Xenopus tropicalis: one gene and its partners. The protein of the gene in region 1 interacts with the protein of each later gene in a pairwise test. Links are inferred from orthologs where the notes say so. Each region holds a gene or a part of one and is shown on either strand. Other genes may lie near its edges. The genes, in order: rhoj, pak2 and wasl.

Region 1 (4,372 bases):
GGCCTACACACTTTGTGAAGTGATCCCTCTCTGTACTTCTGTACTCCTGATCCTGACCACATCTTGATTCAACTCTGATCTCTACCTGATAATTTGGTACCACATACTTCAATTGAAATTCTTCTTCATTGCCTGAACAATATTCCTGGCACTTCTGCCACTCTTTCCATTGGTACTTCCCAGGTGCTGTGACTTGGCTTGGTGGGGGTGCAGGTGAGGCTATCCTTCCTCAAACTGGACATTTGCATAAAACAATCATCAGAAGGAAGCCTTACTGTCAACATTATCACAAACATCATAGTCTAAGTTTTAGATGACAGCATCTAGACAAACCACAGGCCTTTTCGAAACAAATGCTATAGGCTGATAAAGTAAAAATTGAACTCTTTGGCCACATTCATCAAAGGTTTGATTGGAGGAAAAAAGAAACCTTTATAAAAAAAATGCCTTGACAACTGTTCGGAGTTTAATTATCTTCGTGTAAATGGGAAAAAAACTTTTTCAACAAGTTCTTCTACTAATTTCTAAAAGTCATGTGCCTCTCATTTGCTATCCAACTTTGTTATCTATTTGTCTGTTAAACTTGCCACTTTTCAATTGGACTTCATTTTTTTTTTTTTAATTATTTGCTTTCTTCTTATGCCTCTTTCCAGCATCAAAAATTGGTGTCACTGACCCCAGCATTGAGAAAACAATTGCTCTGTGAGGTTACAATTTTATTACTATTGTTACGTTTTTACGTTTTTTATATTCAGGTACTCTCCTGTTTACCTTGTATTCTGATTGATAGGGTAACATGGACCCTAGCAACCCGATAACTGCAAAAATTTTAAACTAGAGAGCTGCTGAACAAAATGCTAAATATTTTAAAAACCACCAAAATAATAAAAAAAATCAAGACCAACTACAAGTTGTCTCAGAATAGCACTATATACATCATACTAATACAATTTAGCTCATTTCAGTAAATACACTAAAAAGTTTAAATTTTCTCATTTGTATACACTGTGCACATTAATACTCTCAAAATTACAGATGATTTTTCAAAAACCTGGCAGAGTACAAGCTCAGTTCTCAGTGCCACCCTTATAAGGGAACTGTACCCTAGCCCATTCATACATTTTTGCCCAAGTAATGTTTAATATCTTATGCAGATTCCTAAAACCCACAATACTTAAACAGACCCACTTACAATAAGAGTAGTGTTCACAAACAATATTTTGGATGGTACCCCTCCATTTATTGCTACAGGAAGTTTTTGTGGGCAGGAATTGTGCCATGTGGAGTTTACAATCTACTTTTAAATTCCACCACTCTCTTTTAATTTATATTGCTTTATCAGTGGTGTATTTATCAAAGAGTGTATTCTTATTTTCAACCTTTGATAAATAGCTCTTTAAATTTTTTTTTAAAAGAATAGAGATTGAGTTCCAGTTCCAAACTGTGGCAAACCCTCTTAGCTTGCATGGCATTCAAATGCACAAGCTAGGGAATATAAACGGGTGCAAATTACTGTTAAATCTGCAGGGTGTGCAGGGCCCACTGGGGCTGCCACCCGCAAACTTACCTAGGTGCGATCAGGGGAGGGAGGTAAATTGGGGGAGCATCGCTAGTTTAAATCTGCAAGGAAAGTTACATTCTAGTAGAAAAGGCACATCATAGTAGCTGGACAATGTTATACTAATTGTGCACTTTGTACAGTGATAATGCCTAGAGCTGGTGTACCATCCCTATTACTTTAATGTATGATTCTGAATGTGGCAGGACTTGTTTGGAAATAGCCACCAAACTATGCCCCAAATGACCCACCAAAAACAGAAGGATGCACTGTTTGGTTATAATTATATCTTCCCAGCTTTTGGCCTGTTAGTTCACTAATAGGTGCCAAGACAACAGTAAATTGCACAGCTGTCAGTGGTAGTATAAAAGTTACTTAAACCACCATAAGGGACCATGTTGTTAGTTCCCTAATATGTGTTGGCGCTTAATAAGTCACACAGCTGTCAGTGGTAGTATAAAAGTTACTTAAACCACCATAAGGGACCATGTTGTTAGTTCCTTAATATGTGTTGGCGCTTAATAAGTCACACAGCTGTCAGTGGTAGTGTTTCCTTACCTGCATAGTGGTCAAATACAGTGGGAACGTACTGCTCAGGAAAAGCATCATTGGCATAACTCATCAACAGGCAGGTTTTGCCAACTGCGCCGTCTCCAACCACCACACACTTGAGCATCCTCTTCATGCTGCTCATACTGCTGCATCCCGTGCTGTCATTTTCCTCCCTCATATTCATTTCTCCCTGCTGCTGCGGCTGCTACACACTGGTAAAACAGCGCATGAAACCAACTCCAAGTTCAAGTTTCTGTTCCTGGGAGAGTGAGATTTCAGGAAATCATAATAAACTGTATTTGCTGTTGCAGTATCCTCTGGTCATGGTTGTGTTTCAGAGAGGGCTGTGGTGTGTGGGGATACTTTTGCTAATCGCCAGACACTTCATTGCTACACTTACTTGCAGGATGATCTCATTCTGACCCACACAGCACACATTTTCTGTGCAAAAAAAGCAATACACAAATGCAATAAACCTCTTGGATAGAACGTGTCCCTCCTGCTGTGTAACCCAAGAGATCACAGCTTGCTGTTAATCCACTCCATCCTTCCCTTGTGTTTTAGGGTCTAATATGGAGGAGCGCTGAAGATTTTAATGGAGTTTTGCCCCCTGTCTTTCTCGGGTTTGCTCTGTGTCAGGAAATCATGGGTTTCCTGCTGAATTCCATATTAGGATCAGTGGGCTGGTGAACTGCTAGAAACAATGGAAGCTCTGTGTGTGTTTGTATTGTACAGGAACTCTGCCAGGACATGGAGTTAGAAAAACACTAGAGGTCTCACTGCAGGCTCCACAGTTAGACTTCCTGTTCCTTATCCTGCACACAGAGCTGGCTGGAGAGAGGCACATGATGTCACCTCAGTGCGGCTATTAAACTGGCTTTGTTCTACAGGCTAGGAGGGAACAGCACATACTTTTAGGCTCTTTGTTTAACCCTCTCGCTGCCAGAGCAGGGGGTATAGTAGCAGGTCGGCTCCCATCCCTAAAATGATTTCTCTAAACTTACATTCCTAGTGTTTCTCTGGTGATCAGTGACCCCCCCTCCACACCGCTGCTGGAAATGCAAATTCAAATGGCAGATGCTGTGCTTTACTTTGCCTCTGCAGCTATAGGCAATGAGGTAACTCAGGGTTAAACCATACACCCCCTCTCCTCACCACCTATAAGAAGTTGTCAGAGATTTATAGATACTGCTGGGTTCAGATGGGCTTGAGACTTACTTAAGTATTTAGGTGGGCTTGAGAGGCACAGCCATGCATTTACTTTTGGCTCCCTGTGCTTCAGACTAAATGGCCAGGGGATTGTTTATACCCTCCTCGAGTGCTACAACTTGCTCTCAGGGAGCTGAGCTACCATGACAGCTGCATTTATCTGCTTTCCCAGGCTCCAGATTGTGTGTGTGTAGGGGTGAGATTGGTGGTAGAATAATGATAGGACTATGAGGAGTATGGCACACATCTGGGCTCATAGGTAGGGGCTAAATTATAGAAATCCCTCTGGGGATTGAGTGAGAAATATGAAACTGGGAAGGGGGAGCTTAGGGTTGCACTTTGTACCCCCTCCAAAAAAAAAACCCAGAAACCTGTTGCACACACAGAACTTGACCTATAAAAAGTTATTATAAAAGAAGCTATAAAAACAAAATGCTTGATAAAGCCAAATATATGGCAAAGCTCAGTACAGAGCTGAAAGGATATGAACAAATTAATCTGTACTCTGAAACAAATAAGTTAGCAAGTATTGGAAGGTTTTTTTTGTATCAGCTTTCCATTCGTTTTGTAAATACATGGGTAGCTGGGCTTCCAAATATACTAAAATATATTGGTATAACAACCCAAACATACGAATATTCTGTATATGCAATTTGTAACACAGACATGGTGTCAGAAATCCAGTCTAATTTTGCTTTGGTTCGGTCCACAGCCTATTTCCAGCCCTCCTTTTGTTTCTGGATCTGCCCCCACCCAGGTGATTTGCTCAGTTTGTTTTAGTTAGTGTTAGCTTATTAGAACCTGTTGGGTTTTGTTTTTCCTGACTGTTTTAACCATTTTTCCTGGCTTCCAGATTCAACTTCTTGTTTGTTTCTTCTGTGTTGCACTATAGTTTGGACTGTCTCTTGTGTATAACCTGGATTGCCTCTGAATACTGCAATTGTCTTTGTGTTCCAGTTTAATTCTACTATGCTTGTGACTCCTGCCAGCTATCCTGCTCTGTGTGGCTACTTGCCTTGATGTTCCTGTGCTTCAGCTCCAGTTGTGGTTCTT
Region 2 (4,215 bases), on another chromosome or scaffold:
ATGGTATGATTTTTGGACCATGTTTGGGCCCATTCCCATAACTTTCATACAACGGTGACTGGTTGATTAGTCAACAGTGATAAAATCTATGCATGTATCCGACAATGTCCTTTGGTGACCTACAATGCATTGCAGGAACATCACTTTCATACGATTGTTGTTTGTCGTGACTTTATCCTTCAATTTCAATCTGAATGTTAGTTTTAGATTGTTGCATTTAAACATAAATTCGATATCTGAAAGTTTGTTGGAAGAAGAACAAAATCTATTTGTGTATGGCCGCCTTAAGGGTTCAGCCAGTGCGAGTACCAACCTGTCCAAAGGAATGATAAAAGGACAGTGAGAAATACATCACATTGCTTTACGGCAGATAATAGGAATTGCTTTTCTAAACATTAAAAGGCACATCTTACTTGCCTATATTTCTTACAGTTTCACTATGCACAATAATTTAGATTACTGACTTTTTAAATTAATTATTAGGAAAATAACATGCACAGCTATTAGTATTACTCTTTAAGTGATCAAAGCACTATTAGTTTGTCCCTATAATAATGCATTTTTGTAACTCTTGTGCAATGCACGTATACCCACCTGGGGGAAGAAATTAGCCCTTGCGGTTAGCGCTACATTTGTCCACAAAAATGACTGACTATTGTATTATTGCATTTTTCATTTAGAGCTCTGGCATGCAAAAAAACAAAATAATATAGCACTTGGCTGTATTCAAGGCCCACAGAAGACCAAAAGAACTGTACTGGACATGTGCAAACTGTAATCTACATAAATCACAATAATCTAAAAGCTCCCCTGCTAGATAAGCTCTCAAAGTTGTGCTGTCTGATTCACTCTGCCCCTCCATTTAGTGGTAAAGACTTCTACACACCATGTATTCAGTAAAGTGAATGTTACAGAGCAGTTTATTTCCTCGCCTGGCTGAGAGTAAATAATGATACCTACGCATTCTACCAAGTGTCGGACTCCCGGTGGGCCCAGGTGTCAGGGGGCCCTCATACTTCTTACCATTTGGCCTAGTTCATGGTCATTCATTATTTCTCTATATGAACAAGAAGACTAAATAGAACAGATTTATAGAGGTTGAGTGAGGAGTTGAGAAAAAGTAGTTTGGAGAGTGTGCCCCTGGCCCGCCAGTCCAACACGGATTCTACCTGTAACCCTGGTGCCATATTGATTTTATTTACCAGAATGCCATGGAAGCAAGTAGCTCCAGTCTTATCAGCAAATCTCCTAACATAGGAAACAAGAGATACGTCCATCACGTTCAACCATAATGCCTATATACAACCTGCCTCACTGCTAGTTAATCCAGACGAAGGCAAAAAAAACCCCACCTGAAGCCACTCTAATTTGCCGCAGAGGGGGAAAAAAATCCTTTCTGACACCAATGACGCAATCGGACCCTTCCCAGGATGGCAATGTTACTTTAAATAGGGGTACACACCAATGACATTAAACTTTGTTTCCTGTAATGATCTCTTTATATTTCTGCAAAATAAAAACATTGTTCTGAATTGAACAATTTACATTTCAACTAGATAGGTACGGCCTTGGTACCATTATTGACTCAACTGAACTGACAGGTTGGCAAAATCATGTTATGCCAAGGTATTAAGCAATGCAAGTTTTAACCGAGGAAACCCCCAAGACCGTGCAGACTAGCAGTTATACACCAAGTTACATTCACAGCCTAAACAGGTTTTTTGCCTCACTCATATATCATATTGTATTGTATACATACAGTGATACCCTTGCAGGTTGCAGTGCCCCAGTAGGTACATATCTTTGCATCTCACACTGAGCTCAATGGAAATTATTTCAGCAATTTTTTATTGCAAAATGTCAAAAACCACTAGTCTGAAAAAGTTCTTTATGGGGTTCATACCCTGAGTTTCTGCTGAAGGGGCTCACAGCCACTAAGTCCAACCTGGCAGCTGGGTGCCACTGTGCACCATTGGTATTCACAGCAGGAAGAGATCCAATAAAATCCTGCCTTGTCCCTATCTAATGATTATACAGCAAAGACACGTCCCCAAGCACAAGAAGGGCCATTCTATTGTACAGAATACTATAACTCCCACAAACCCCAGCTGCACATGATGCGAGTTGGAATTGAGCACTGGGTGCTTGCTTGTCCGGTCCAGCACAGGAATACAGGGAATACAAGGAATACAGAGAAATACAAGGAATACAGGGAATACAAGGAATACAAGGAATACCGACAGTGGATAAACTAGAGTTCCCGGGTTCCCAGAAGCTGTAGTTCGGTCCCAATAGGAGCCAAGGATTGGCTATAGCTGGCGTGCTGCCCCGGACACACTATTTCCTCTCCTCACAATATCCCCATCATGGTGTTACCCCTCAGCTTGCCGGCCTCGCCGCTCCCACACCGCACACCAGGCCGCCCCAACTTTATAACATGACACGTAACGGGACAGTGCAAACTGTGTGACAGAAAACCACGTTACTTATTACCGGGTGTGTGAATGAGGTGTTGTGACTTGTTCCCCTCCGCCGGCTCCCTCTCCACTGGGCCCCTTCTTTCGCTCTCTCAGACCCTCCTCTTCCTTGCTTTTTCCGGTTCCGGGTTGCCACACCTCCCTGGGTTCCCCACTGCTCCTGTCACAGTTCAGTAATTGAGCGCCACTGTGTGAGAAGCGCGTCACAGAGGGAGGAGCTGAGTGGCAGAGCGGGGAGACTGGGCGGGCAGAGAAGCGTGGGCGCTACCACCATAAGGGGGGCGGCGGGGGTGCTGGCAGGGCCGTGTACGCACAGCGAGTGAGGGGGGTTTGGGATTACGCCGCTGTGTTTTTGTCAGATGAGATGCAATGCCTGGTATGTGTGAGGAGTGTGTGGGCGTGCTAGGAGCCGTTACTTACCAATAACATGACAGTGAAATTGTAGCAGTCCTGCTGCGTGTGCGCTTGCGCTGTTATTGGCTTTCAGAGTGGGCGCTGACGCCTTGTTAGGGGTTTGCCGGATAGGTGGCCCTTGGGTTGAATGCAGGTTTCTGCATGTTACACTTGTCTCACCCACCCTCCCCACACAGCTGTATTTGGGCAGCTTCATTGTCTGGGTTGCATTTAAGGGAAGAGTAGGGCAGAAAGCAGAAATGCTGCATATTAGGTTTGGGCTCCTGTACCAGCCCAAGTCACCCACAGCCCTTTAGCAGGGAAGATCTGTGCCCCCAAAGATGCCCCAGTAGCTCCCCATGTTCATTTCTCCTGATTCACTGCTTAGGACCCTCTCACAATAGAATAGAATAGAATATATCTTTATTGTCATTCTCACATAGTAAACAACGAGATTTTAAAGGAGACATATTGGATAAATGGAAAAAACCCTAATTTTGTAGGCAATTATGAATAATATATGGTACTGGTTTCCCTTTGTGCTTAAAATGAATCCTATCTGTAACAATGGCCCCTTTATTGGAGCTCCCTATAGATCCTATCACTTCTCTGTCTGTGTTTCAAATGAAGGGTGGGCGTGTACTAACGGTCTCTGCCAGAAGCACAGTAGGAGGGGGAGAGCCAATCACAGCCCTGCACTCACACAAGCACAGACAGGCTTCCGTTCCCTATCAGGTCAGCCTAGCTGCTGATTGGTTCCTATCCTACAGTGCAGGGTACTGAGAGCCGCCGGCTCCCCAGCTCATCCAGAGAATTCAGCCAGCAGGAAGTGGAACAGATTGGTGGGACTAGAGGGGTTTTGTGGAATTTCTCAATAAATCAGTCAGAAACACAATGTTTTTTAAGCACAATCCTTCTATATTTAGAGGAATAGAAGTCACTGGTACATTCATAATTTTGATATGATATGTCTCCTTTAAAATAGCAACGACTCAAAGCAGTGGCATAATAATACTGTATACAGGGTTGGACTGGGGAGTTCAGGGCCTACCAGGGCACCCCCCAATGGCCCCCACCACCTTCTTCACCCCCCCCCCCATCCCGCAGAGGCCCCCAACACCCTACGTCCCCCTCCCTGCGAACGCTCCTAAAAGAATCCTAACTGCGGTGTGTCGGGGGAGGGACGCGGCATGGAGGAAGCGCCCTGGGGTTGAGCGGATCAGGACCATGGGGGCCCACCAGGTTTTCTCCCAATACCCCGGTCGAACGCTGACTGTATATACAGAATATAAATGTCACAATACGAGACGAGTAAATAATTCTGATTATTAGTACGTCAGCTCAG
Region 3 (3,650 bases), on another chromosome or scaffold:
TGTTGGGCCAGTGACAATTACCAATATTCAGACCACCTAAAAACATGCCGGCTAAAAGAAGATTTATTTCTTATGAGGTAGTTATTCCTGAAAATATGAATAAATATTGGTTCTACATTCAGGTCTGACAGATGCAAACTCACCCTGCCTGCGCAACTCATTTTTGACAGCTTCGACACCTCCTGTTTTTTCAATGAAATCATAAATTACTTTTGATGTTTCTTTATCTTTCAGCTGAGCTTCTGATATGCCACATAAGTCAAACAACTTTTTAAGCTCCGGGTCCAAATTGTTGACCTAGGAATAAAGACATCATTTAAATAGATCATTTAAACCATTGTAACATTATTTAAGATTGATACTCGCTTTGGAATTTATGGAACTGCTTATATGGCCTGCTTATCTGCCAAAATTTAGTTTAAAATACAGTAAACATGGCATTGTGTTATTAACAGCAAGTTGAAAATGTGGTAAGAAGGAAATGTAGATACAGGATATTAGCACTGCCACAGATTACAGGTTTGTATAGAATACAGGAGAAGTCTGCATTACAAAATCATTAAAGGCAAAGAACAAACTGGAAAAAAAGTATTTCCTCCAGTATATTATAAAATACTTACATCAAAGCCTGTGTTTGGATCCCAACCCACATGTCCAATGTGTCTAAAAAAATTAAAAAAGCACGGTAAGGATAGCAAAATAAGCACACAGAAGGAATACAAATATAATAACGTAATGTGTACTGAAGTGCATAATTGACTATACTTACAGAACAAAGCAAAAATAAAATAAGAAATTAAGGGGCATAAAGCCGGTAATCAAAAAATCCAGTTTAAAACTATTGGTTACTACTCCTAAAGAAAACTTTACTCCTGTGTTATGCCTAAATTACTTTATTCTCTACTAAATGATGTAATTCAAGTGAAGTCAACACTGCACTTTCCAGGAAGGTCTTTGGACCTCTGCCCTCAGTGGTATGTTCCATGGCCTCAGGCAAATATAAAATCTCTGAAATTACCCCAAAAAATTGTTACCCAACACTCTAACTTGTCTATGGTTTATCATCTTAGTTCTTAGCTGATTTCTTACAAATAAGGGATCCCACAGCTGGTACCACAGGAATTGTACTAATTTATCAGGAAACACATTATCCAGAAATCTCCAAATTACAGGAAGGCCATGTCCCTTAGAGTCCATTTTAAGCAAATAAAACTAATAGTAAAAGAACTATTTCCCTTTTTTTCTGTAATAATAAAACAGTACCTTGTACTAAACTACATGAATCCATATTAGTGGCAAAACAATCCTACTGTGTTTATTTAATGTTTACATGATTTTTAGCAGGACTAACATACGGATATCTAAATTACAGAAAGATCCCTTATCCAGAAAACCCTAGGTCCCAAGCATTGTGCATAAGACTATTATACCCGTAGTGTAAAAGCAATTTAGTTACAAAGGCTATTTTACACATTTTATTCTACATTTAGATTACATACTGAAAGTTACTTGGAGTTCCAATATCAGCTTTTGTAAGTTTTTTCTTCTTAGTTTTTCCCTTTTTCTTGTCATTTTTGTATGGAATGTTGTTCACTTGTGCATTATATCTGTTTGTGATTTCTGGGTTTTTAATGTCAACGGTTGCCATTGGTAGACTTGGCCCTGGAAAGGAAAAAAGTATAATGTAAGTGAAACGATGGCTGGAACAAGAAAGGCAGCAATAAACAGTGCACAGAAGTTAACTGTGGCTTTCCATAGATTATATGCACATAAAGTGATTTTGGAGAGAATTCACTTGGCAGCCTTAAATACCCAGACAACCCTACAACAATCCATCAGAATATTTCATTAGTCTGAGGACAAAGCAGACAGATCATAACTAAGCACCGATTGATTGCTATGGGTTACTACTTCTCAGTACATATACTTCTACTTAAAATGTAAAGTATGACTACATTTAGGTGATTTGCCCTTCTGCCTCATAGTGCTCACTAACAAAATTTTTTAACTTGGTGTGCTCTTTTCTGTAACCAGTGTACTGCTGCTGAATACAAAGTTCATGTGATAAGACTATTATGAAGGCAAACAGATGGAGTGCAGCTAAAATACAAGCTAAATCTTTCTAATGAAATATTACTCACAAATAAACCATACCATTAAAAAATTAAAAGAAATGAAAAGAGCCTAAAATATTTTCACTTTCTTTGATAAGGGACACCTCTGTTTTCTGAGTGAAAAGCTTGCCTTTTGTGTTGATATTAGTGTCTGACTTGCTTCTCCACATCATTAACTTTCTGGCCATGTATGAAAACTGGTGAGATAGCAGAGTAGGTTTAAAAATTCTTTGGGCTTGTTGATGTGTTCTTCTGCAGGCTGGACCGATAACTATTATGCAATTGTTGACCTGGGGTCCAAACTAAAGAATCAGCCCAGAATGTGAATGGCCAAATTGGGTAAAGAACCATTCATTTGGCAAACTTATCAAAAGTTAATCTTCAGTATTCCCCTGTCAGGTTATTCCTTTGTCTGGGAACAGTACTTTTACTTTTTTTTTTTTTTTTAAATAACCAACGCTAACCCAAATCTCATCTTTCTACATGCAGGATTTGTGGCAGTTGATTATTTTTAAAGAAAGAGTTACTTATATTACATCTTCTGGACAAATGTATTAAATGTTCCAATGTACCAAAATTGAAATCCTTCATGTAGAGAGAATGTTAACATTGATTATATTTAGAAAGTTCCTTATTTGCATGAGATAAAGCTTATATTCAATTTTCATTCTAGTGTTAGTTCATCTTCAGGATAATAAAAAATAAAACATCTGATGCCTCGCAGTTGTTCAAGGACTACAACAACTAGCATTTTCATTTGTAAGCTGAAAAGAAGAAGAAAAGTAAGGTTTCTCACTCAAAAACCATAGAAACAAACAAACACCCGCTAAAAGGTTTCTTAGGTAAACCTATAACATACTAGAAGTACAGAATTCCTTAGAAACAAATTACACATTCTACACACCAACCAAGCTTGCAATTAAAGTTATTCAAAATGTGGAAAAGACCACATGACATAACTAGCAATTGTGTGTTAATTAAAAAAACAGCTAAAATTACACAGTTGACTAGGCAATCTAAAGAACAGTAAAATATCAAACTTTTATAAAAAAAGCTTATCTGAAATATGGGCACAGGGCCACAACTCTTCTGTTAGGACATTTTTAGAGCATGTTAAGGGAACAAGATACAAAGGGTTCATTGTTTTTCCAGGATAATATTTAAACTTTAAAATGAACACACTGCTTATAAATCTCTTCCCTAGAACATACAGCACAGTGACAAATTAAACATTTCCTAAAATGTAATGTAAAAGAGTAATGTCACCCTGATAATAAGTTTTAATGAAACTGCAGTGTGTACCCCCTATCTGTCCCACTCATAAGTATAGCTTCATTTATAACTGCCCAAAAAAGCCACAACACACAGGGTCAGACCTAATGTGAATTAAGTGATGGAGAGATGATAGATAGATAGATAGATAGATACAAGTGCATGTAGTGAAATGCACTTGAAAAAACAAAGTCAGCCTGAATGGAAGAATCAGGAAAGTGTCTGGACATAGCAGTGCCATCTTGGAAGTGCCACATGGCATAA

What was found.
Region 2: the proteins of rhoj (region 1) and pak2 interact in binary tests that used the Homo sapiens proteins (3 or more experiments, as listed by UniProt). The two-hybrid records come from large-scale screens. The link is inferred for Xenopus tropicalis from reciprocal best matches to the Homo sapiens genes RHOJ and PAK2.
Region 3: the proteins of rhoj (region 1) and wasl interact in binary tests that used the Homo sapiens proteins (3 or more experiments, as listed by UniProt). The two-hybrid records come from large-scale screens. The link is inferred for Xenopus tropicalis from reciprocal best matches to the Homo sapiens genes RHOJ and WASL.

What each region holds. Positions count from the first base shown.
Region 1 is NC_030684.2:101,542,667-101,547,038, forward strand, and holds the start of rhoj (rho-related GTP-binding protein RhoJ), read right to left. Parts: upstream 2,943-4,372; 5' UTR 2,295-2,942; coding exon 2,117-2,294; intron 1-2,116.
Region 2 is NC_030681.2:129,803,683-129,807,897, forward strand, and holds the start of pak2 (serine/threonine-protein kinase PAK 2), read right to left. Parts: upstream 2,808-4,215; 5' UTR 2,494-2,807; intron 2,377-2,493; exon of another isoform or gene 2,242-2,376; intron 1-2,241. UniProt on the Homo sapiens protein: Serine/threonine protein kinase that plays a role in a variety of different signaling pathways including cytoskeleton regulation, cell motility, cell cycle progression, apoptosis or proliferation.
Region 3 is NC_030679.2:70,345,511-70,349,160, forward strand, and holds part of wasl (neural Wiskott-Aldrich syndrome protein), read right to left. Parts: intron 1,663-3,650; coding exon 1,500-1,662; intron 664-1,499; coding exon 621-663; intron 298-620; coding exon 144-297; intron 1-143. UniProt on the Homo sapiens protein: Regulates actin polymerization by stimulating the actin-nucleating activity of the Arp2/3 complex. Involved in various processes, such as mitosis and cytokinesis, via its role in the regulation of actin polymerization.